Linked DNA regions of Canis lupus familiaris. The protein of the gene in region 2 interacts with the protein of the main gene of each other region in a pairwise test. Links are inferred from orthologs where the notes say so. Each region holds a gene or a part of one and is shown on either strand. Other genes may lie near its edges.

The links.
Region 1: the proteins of APOA1 (region 2) and APOC1 interact in a two-hybrid assay, tested with the Homo sapiens proteins (2 studies listed by BioGRID, with this or other methods). The link is inferred for Canis lupus familiaris from reciprocal best matches to the Homo sapiens genes APOA1 and APOC1.

Annotation. Positions count from the first base shown.
Region 1 is NC_049222.1:111,228,361-111,232,867, forward strand, and holds APOC1 (apolipoprotein C-I precursor), read right to left. Parts: upstream 2,891-4,507; 5' UTR 2,865-2,890; intron 2,729-2,864; 5' UTR 2,709-2,728; coding exon 2,651-2,708; intron 2,156-2,650; coding exon 2,008-2,155; intron 707-2,007; coding exon 646-706; 3' UTR 506-645; downstream 1-505. UniProt on the Homo sapiens protein: Inhibitor of lipoprotein binding to the low density lipoprotein (LDL) receptor, LDL receptor-related protein, and very low density lipoprotein (VLDL) receptor.
Region 2 is NC_049226.1:16,767,571-16,771,669, reverse strand, and holds APOA1 (apolipoprotein A-I), read right to left. Parts: upstream 2,727-4,099; 5' UTR 2,634-2,726; intron 2,459-2,633; 5' UTR 2,439-2,458; coding exon 2,396-2,438; intron 2,224-2,395; coding exon 2,070-2,223; intron 1,458-2,069; coding exon 854-1,457; 3' UTR 714-853; downstream 1-713. UniProt on the Homo sapiens protein: Participates in the reverse transport of cholesterol from tissues to the liver for excretion by promoting cholesterol efflux from tissues and by acting as a cofactor for the lecithin cholesterol acyltransferase (LCAT).

The DNA.
Region 1 (4,507 bases), on a different chromosome or scaffold from region 2:
TCCACCAAGTATTACTGAGCGCCTACACCATGCCCAGTCCTGTGTGGGACTATGCCTGGGGACAGTGGTGATGACGTCCTGGCCCAGTCCTCCTGGGCTCACAATCCAGTAGGAAAGACAGACCCATTACTAGGCAGTGATGACCCAGCCTGAGGTCTAAGAAGGGCTTCCTGGAGGAGGGGCATCATCCATTTTAAGTATAATAAAGACCTACTGTTCATGGTGTTGAACCAACCCGGTCCCTCATCTTGGGCAGCCCAGTCGGGAAAGAATATAGCAGAGAAACAGCTCTCCCATTCCTGACAAGTGACTTCACCTCTGTGGGCCCCCATGCCCTCGTGGAATTAACAGGGCCCCTGCTCCCGAGGTTCTTGTGAGGATTTTTTTGAGACCATGAAGTTCAAAGTCCTTGGCACAGGTCAAGTAGACAACGTTCAATACATTTGAATCCTTGCCTCCTCAAAAGATGCAGCCCCCTCTCCCCCCCAGCAAAAGACCACTCAGATTTCTCTATAGGATTTTTATTGGAGGTTGGGGGTAGACATGAACATCATGAAGTCCTTGGCAAGGAGCCAGGGGATGGGAAATTTCAGAGCCCCCTCCTGGGGCACACAGGCCAGAGTAGAGGGGCGGCTCTCCTGGTGTTCAGGAGAAGGCAGTTTTGAGATGCTCCTTCACTTTCTTGAAAGCCTCAGAAAACCAGTTTCTGCAGGGAGAGATGGGGGAGGAGTCACTGAGTTTGGTGTTTCAGGGCAGGTCAGAGGGCCCAAATCCTGCCTCCTACCTGCCTCCCCCATCTTCCCTTTTCCCTTCCCCCAAGGACAGAGCATGGTTCCCACATCTGTGGAACTGGGAGGAGCCCTGGGCTGGATTTCCCAGATGGGCCAGAGCCCTTTGAAGTCAGAACACTCCACCCTGGGCACAACTTTCAAGGCTTGCTATCTCTTGCTACCAAGCCTGCTCTTGGCACGCTGTCCCCTAGTTATTCAGGGGCACTCTTCAGCCTTCTTGTTTTTTGCCCAGGCTGTGTCCCTGGCCTGGATTATGTTCATATCTTCCTGGCTCAGGGCCTTTGCACTCACCCTCCACAGGAACATTCTTCCCATGTTTCTAGGCCTGGCTGGATTTTCCTAATCACTCAGATCTCTCTCTCTCTCTCTCGTTCTCTCTCTCTCTCTCTTTTAAAGTAAGACAGCCAGGCTTCATGTAGGTTTGAACTCACCACCCTGAGATCAAGACTGGAACTGAGATCAAGAGTCTGAAGCTTAACCTACTGAGCCACCCAGGCGCCCTGAAGCAATAACACTTTAAATTGAGATATGAAAAGGGGAGTCTGGCTGGCTCAGGAGGTATTATATACAACTCTTGATCTCAGGGTCATGAGTTCAAGCCCCACACTGGTTGTCTACATCCACCCTGTTTATTGTCTTCTCAGTATTTAGCCCCGTCTGGGCTGACCTGCTGGAAATTCACTGGTTTACAATCTGTTCCCTGTGGGCTGGGACTTTATCTCATTCATCACTATTATTCCCCACACTGGAACAATCCTGGACACTTAGCAGATGCCCAATAAATACTTGTTCATGAATGAATGATCCTCTAATCTAAGTGGCCAAATGGAGTCACTGTTGGTTAAAAAGCATACTGAGCATTTACCATGTGTCAGGCACTATGCAAATCCCCTAGTTTACTTCTCCTCAGAACCATCCATGTAACAGAGGAGGAAGAAGGCTCATCCAGATCTATTCTGGAATCACACAAAGAGAACTGAGTCTTTGCTAGCCTGTGGACCTGGGGTGACTCGACACCCAAGCTCGGCCTTTTACCACCTCACAGGACCACTTCTACACTGTGGCCTAGGTAGGAGTCAGGAACCTGTCCCCCACATCTGGGCACCCTGCGATCCAGCCATGACCACATGGAAGCTGTCAGCCTCTCCAGGTCTCAGTTTCCCCAATCTGTTAATGATATACCCCAGCCCTCCCAAACCCTGAGAAGGTTCCTAACCGGGTCTTTGCAGGAATGTCGCTCTTCTTGATGCTCTCAATGGCTGCCCGGGCCTTGTCTTCCAGGGTGTTACCAAACTCCTTCAGCTTATCCGGGATGCGCTCAAAAGTGCTGGAGATTTCTCCGGCCGCCTGGGCGGGGGCTGGACCTGCCCAGAGACGGGCAGGGTTACAAAAATGTCAGTATTGGGAAGCCTCAGGCTGAGATTCTGGGGACGGGAAAGGAGATCTTTAAATGATTCTTGGAGGTCATGGCTTTAGGCTGGGAAGGGGAGGGGGGAAGATGGACTAAGGCGACCAGATGGAGCTCAAGCTGCCGGGAATTAGCTTACTGTCAGGCCTCCCTCCTCCCCCTCCCCTTTCCAGGTTGTAAAAGCAGGACAGCCAATCCTGGAGGGGCAAGTCAATACATCATCTGTTGCTAGGGCTTCCTGAGGTAGACTTGCCACCTGCCGGCCCTCCCCTTAGAGCACCCTCACCCACCTTGCCCGGTTGGGGGTGGGGTGATTGGTGAGAGATAGGAAAACCAGGGCACAGAAGGGGCCCCAGAGCTCTCAAGCGTCCTCCAAGCTTGGAGCCCAGGCACGTAGGCAGCTTCAAGCTTCCAAATCTCAAACCCCCAGATTCTTCTATCCCGCTTTTACCTTCCAAAACCATCGACAGAACCACCACCAAAACCGGGAGCGACAGAATGAGCCTCATGGCGGGGCCGGAGGGGCTCTCTGGAAGCAGAAGCAGGGGTGGGAGCGATCAGTGACACCCCTCCTCCCTCCCCGGAGTTCCCTCCACCCCTTTTCTAGTGTTCTTGGAGGGGCAGCCCTCCCGGGGCATCAGGGGCATCAGGTATCGAGCACCAACCTGGAGCGGTCTCGGAAAGCGCAGGTGGGAGGTCCTGGCCTGGCCCAGGCCTTTATCGGGCTGGGGTGGAGGCGGGGCAGGTTAATCCCTCCCCTTAAGCCTCCGGGCCGCTGGCCTCCCCCCACTCCCGTGCCCACCCACCATTTCCTCTTCCCTGCCTGGCTGGTGGGCTGCGGGGGTCAGGTGGGCCTGGGCACATCCCTTGTCCCTTAAGCCACTTGCTGTTCAGCACCTGCACCTCTAAATCTCCCTGTTGGTGGATCTCAGCCTGCCATAGTCCCTTCCCTACATGTGAGGGCTGGGGGCGTGTTTCTCCTGCTGAACTCAAGGGTCTCTCTGTCACCGAGCATCTCTGTAATTTGCTGGAACTCTCCAGGCCTCCTCTTCCATCCCCTTTCTCTTCTTAGCAAGCCTCTTCAGCGCAAGCAACTCCCAACTCCATGACTCCAGGGTCACCCAGTCTACCCCCACATTCCTAGACCCTGGCCACTTCCAGTCTCACTTGCAGACCAGCCCTCAAGCCCCCCACCTCTCTGCATCTGGGAGCATCCCAGACCTCCACGGATGTGCTCTGAGGTCTTCATTCCACAGCCCCCTCCCCTGCCCCATGCACATCGATCTTTGGGGCAGGAATCTTTGCAACCTGTCTCAACTGCAAAACCCCAGCTGCAAGGATCCCAGGGTGTGCGCCTCCATCCATTCCACCAGGCCCCTCCTAGCCCTTTGCTCTCCCACTCTGCGAGCTTCCGGGCCCCCTGGTAAACAGTGCATCTGCCCTTGCCCCTTCGGGCCCCTCCTGGCACCAAGCTCTCCCCCCCTCCCCTGTCTCTCCTCCCACCACATCCGTCCCTCAGGGCTGGAGTCCAATGCTTCCCCCCTTCCTCTGGCTGCCTTTGACCGCCAGTGATCCCTGGCAGCTGTGGGGAGGGTGGCCCTGGCCTCAGACTTGAGGTTGGCTGGCCTTGTGCCCCCACAACCACGTGTCAGCCTGGGGGTGGTGGTGGGAGGGGACGGTTATGAAAGGGACGCACAGACATGACCCTGGCAGGATTGCGACAACCCCTTGGCTGGCTCAGTGCATCCAGACCCTGTCAGCCCTCCAGCTGCCTTCCCAGACATCTGCTTCCCCTGCGAGCCTAGCATTCCCCAGACATCCACCCAGAGGTCTCTTCTCCTTCCTTCCCCACCCCACCGGAATAGAAGAATGACTTGGCTTTTCCAGTCTCCTCCTCCTCATGCTAGCTACAGGGGTTTCCATTTACAGATGGGGAAACCGAGGCACAGCCAAGAACATTCAATGGCTCAGCACCATTGGGGCGAAGGGAGGGGTGGCTCTCTGTCTGTCCCCTTTCTGGACTTCAGGCTGCCCCTCTGAATCTCTGAGGGGGATCAGCTTCTGCCCCACAGCACCCCCTGCCAGGCTCTGTTCCCCAAAACTTCTCCAGCCCTGGTGCCATCTCTAGACCTGACTGCTGTCTTCATCCATGAGAACCCAAGATTCAGTTCTTCAAGGGGGAGACACGGTTGATCCCAGGCCGTGCATTGACAGCTGTGGCTCAGAGGGCTTGGCCCCAGCTCCAGGGCATACAGTGAATCAGCAGCACACTTGGCTGGGACTAGTCCCCCTGCCTCTAAGCCCACTG
Region 2 (4,099 bases):
GGCTCCCGGTGCATGGAGCCTGCTTCTCCCTCTGCCTGTGTCTCTGCCTCTCTCTCTCTCTCTGTGACTATCATAAATAAATAAAATTAAAAAAAAAAAAAAAAAAGGAAAGGGGCTCATCTTTTTCTTCATTTTTTGAATTACTAAAGGAGGGCAGCCTCTGTGGTGCAGCGGTTTAGCGCTGCCTGCAGCCCGGGGTGTGATCCTGGAGACCCGGGATCGAGTCCCACGTGGGGCTCCCTGCATGGAGCCTGCTTCTCCCTCTGCCTGTGTCTCGGCCTCTCTCTCTCTCTCTCTCTCTGTGTGTCTCTATGAATAAATAAATAAAATCTTAAAAAAAAAAAAAAAAAAAAAAGGAGGCAGGAGCAAAGGCCAAGCCCTCGCGGGAGCCGGGCCCATCCTTCAGCCCCAGGGGCTCCCTGAGGCCCTCCCCGGCTGGCCCGGAGCGCGAGGGCTGCCGGAGGCCCTGCCCTGTTTGCGGCGGGTCCCAGTCCCAGTCGGGAGCTCGCAGGTTCGGGCTCGGGGCGGCGCCCCTCGGACGGGTCCTCCGCGCCCCTGCGTGCGCCCCGCCCCGGGGGAGGGCGCCCCGCGACCTGGCTCCGCAGCGCGGCCTCGCGGGGACCCGGGCCTGCTGCCCTCGGGCCGCGACACCGCAGGGCCCCCCGCCCCCGCCCCCCCCCCCACTCCCTCCGCCCAAGAAAGAACGTCCAGGGTTCGGAGCACATTTTATTGTTTAAAAATCACAGCCGCGGCCTCCAAACCCGCGCGCCCGACACGGGCGTCCCGCGTGGGAAGCGTTTGTTCCGAGGGCCGGGCGGGCGGACAGACGGACGGGGCGGGGGGGGGGGGCGCCTCACTGCGCGTTCAGCTTCTTGGTGGCCTCGTCGATGGCAGCCAGCAGGCTGACCTTGAAGCTCTCCAGCACGGGCAGCAGGCCCTGGCGCAGGTCCTCGAGCGCGGGCCTGGCCTTCTCGCCGAGCGCGCTCAGCTGCTCGCTGGCCCTGGCGTGGTACTCGGCCAGGCTGGCGCCGCCGCCCTCCTTGAGCGCCTGCAGCCGCGCGGCCAGGCGCTCGCGCAGGTCGTCGCTGTAGGGGGCCAGCTGGGCGCGCAGCGCGTCCACGTGGGTGCGCGCGCGGTCCCGCAGCTCCTCGCCCAGCGGGCTCAGCTTCTCCTGCAGCTCCTGCAGCTTCTGGCGCGCGCCCTCGCGCAGCTCCGAGCCCAGCGGCGCCACCTTCTGGCGGTACAGCTCCACCTCCTCCTGCCACTTCTTCTGGAAGTCGTCCAGGTAGGGCTGCACCTTCTGCTTCACCTCCTCCAGGTCCTTGCTCATCTCCTGCCGCAGCACCTCCGTCTCCTTCTCCAGGTTATCCCAGAACTCCTGCGTGACCGGGCCGATCTGTTCGCGCAGCTTGGTCACCGTGCTGCTCAGGCTGTCCCAGTTGTCCAGGAGTTTCAGGCTGCAGGGGCGGGCGGAGCGAGGGCGTCAGGGCTGGCCTCCCGCGGAACCCCGGACAGCGCCCGAGCTGCGGGCCCGGCTCCCCGCGGCGGCCGGCGGTGAGGCCCGAGCAGCAGCTGCCCCCGCCGGGCGCCTCCCCCAGGGCAGCCTCTGGCGCGCACCCCGCGCACCCCGCGCCGCGTGCCCCGGTGCTGATGGACCGAGGAGCCGGGAGACACGGGGCTGGGTCGGGTGCCCCGTGCTGCCCGTCCCCAAAGCCGGGCCTCGAGGACCAGTCCCTATACTCCAGTCCATCGTCCGCTCCGAGAAGGCCGCCGGGTTGCTGGCCGGGAGCAGAGGAGGAAGGAGCTAAGGGTGGGGGGCGCGCTGCCGGGCGCACCTGCTCGGATCTAACCCCTTGCTGGGCGCTCCGTCCCTGTTCTCCCTAAAACGAGTTCTGAGACGGTGGTTATTGGGGGGATCCCGTTCCCGTTTCTCCAGGCCTTCAGTGGGGGCCCAGGAAATAGCAGGTGGGGATTCGGCTGGTCTGGCTGCATTTTCCCGCAGGCCTCTCTGTGCCCCCCAAACCGGCCACCCCTACCCCTGCCCCCTGCACCCCAGGTTGGGTCCATACTTCAGCTGTTTTCCCAGGGCGGAGGCTTCAAACTGGGCCACATAGTCTCTGCCGCTGTCTTTGACTGCGTCCACATACACGGTGGCTAAATCCTTCACCCGATCCCAGGGTGACTGGGGTTCATCTTGCTGCCAGAAGTGCCGAGCCTGGCTCCCTGGGGGTGAGAGGGGAGACCCAGGTCAGGCCCGCTCCAGAGGGCGATCGGGGCTGAAATGCCAGGCTTGCAGGCAGGGGTGAGGGGTCCGGGAGTGCCCAGGAGGGTGGCCCGCAGGAGCGTGGGAGAAGGGCCCCCACAGCAGTGGGCTTCCTAGATTGGGGTCACCTACCCGTGAGGAAGAGCACGGCCAAGGTCAGCAGTGCGGCTTTCATCCTGAAGGGACACAGGGGACCTGCGGGAGAAGAGGGTCCTGGTGAGTGGGGCGGCCGTTAGCGTGGAGGAGCCCTGTGCGCCCCCACCCGTTCTTCTGGGGCAGGAGAGGGTCCCCAGGCAGGGCACAGCCCGCAGCCAGGCCCCCGGAGTCCCAGGGACAGGGCCCGGGCTGGGGGACAGGCAGCGGCACTCACCAGGCGCTCAGGAGCCTGCCGGGCCCGCTCTCCCCGCCTATTTATGTCTCCGGGCAGGGGCAGGGGCCCGGCAGGGAGGCTGATAAGCCCAACCCAGGCCTTGCTGCTGCTGCTCACTGGTCCCAGCCATGTGGAACTCAGAGTTCAAGGATCATCCCTGTCCCCGGGGCCGGACAAATAGAGTGGGCAAACAGGAGGCTGCGCGGGGGCCACCAGGCCAGGGATCAAGGGGTCAGACGGTACTGGGGACTGGGGGGGGGGTGGGGTGGTTGCAGGCTTGCAGGTCCCCAGGATCGGGGTCCTCTGCACCCATCCCTCCTGGTGGTGGTGGTGCTGGGAGGGATGTGTCCCCCACTGTCCCCTGTGCCCGTGGAGCAGGGGAGTGGAGGGACTGAAGCAAGAGACAGCGGCTGGCCAGGGACCGCTGGGCCTCCTCCCGTCAGGAGGTGTGCTCCCCCACAGCCCCTTAGATTCCAGGGAGATTACTTTGCCCCCACCCTGCCTTTCTTCTCCAGAGGCAGCGGTCTTCCCACCAACACGCTGTGGCCTGTTTTGTCCCAACAGGTCAGCAGACCTCTCTGCAGGCTCTCTCAGGCCTCCCAAACCCTTGACCCAAGGGGCCTGTGGTGCCAGGAAGTGACCTGGGGACCCTGGGGAGGGCTCCGTGCTTCCCAGGTAGAGACTTGGGTGGGGGGGGCTCTGACATTTCAAAACAAAATCTAGAGACCCACTCGGAGTTGCCAACTTTTTATTTTGTCGCGTAAAAAAGTCAACCACTGTCTCCCCCAAATGCCACCCTCTGCCGCGCCCAGCACTTCAAAAGAGAAAAGATTTTTTTTTTTTAACATCATGAAAGGGCACAATGTCAGAACAAAGGGCAGGCACTTCAGTTGAATCCGTGTATCTTTGCCTGGTTCCTGTTTACATTGGAGTGCACACAGTGAGGGGCATACCGGACTTTAGGGGTCCCCGCGGGGGTGGGGAGGAGACCTCTGCAGTGGGAGGCCACAGGGGAGCTGGTTACTCGCTTCGCTCTGCCCCCGATTTGCAAAATCCTGGAGGAGGATCGCGAGCCAGTGCTGTAATGTCTCCGAGCCTCGGTTTCCTCTCAGTAGAAGGAGACAAAAATGGCTCGAGCCGTTGGAGGCGCAGGGAGCCCCGGTAACGCAGAGCACCCTGTGCCCGGGCTGTCGGCAGCGCCGCTCGGCAGGGCTTCTCCCGGGAGGCCCAGCGCCTCGGACGCCAGCTCACGGCAGGGCCTGAGTCAGAGCCATCAGCCGGCGGCCTCCCCCCGCCCCGCCACCTTGCACACCAGGAAGCTGGGGACAGGGGAGCCTTGTGCCCTCTGCCTCTGGTCTCTCGGCACGTCGGAGGCAGGGATGGACTTTGGATGCACCCGGGATAGAAATGCACCCTGCATCATCTGCCCAGGAATCTCCCTGCTGTCCTCCAGGTCCCAGGGCTGC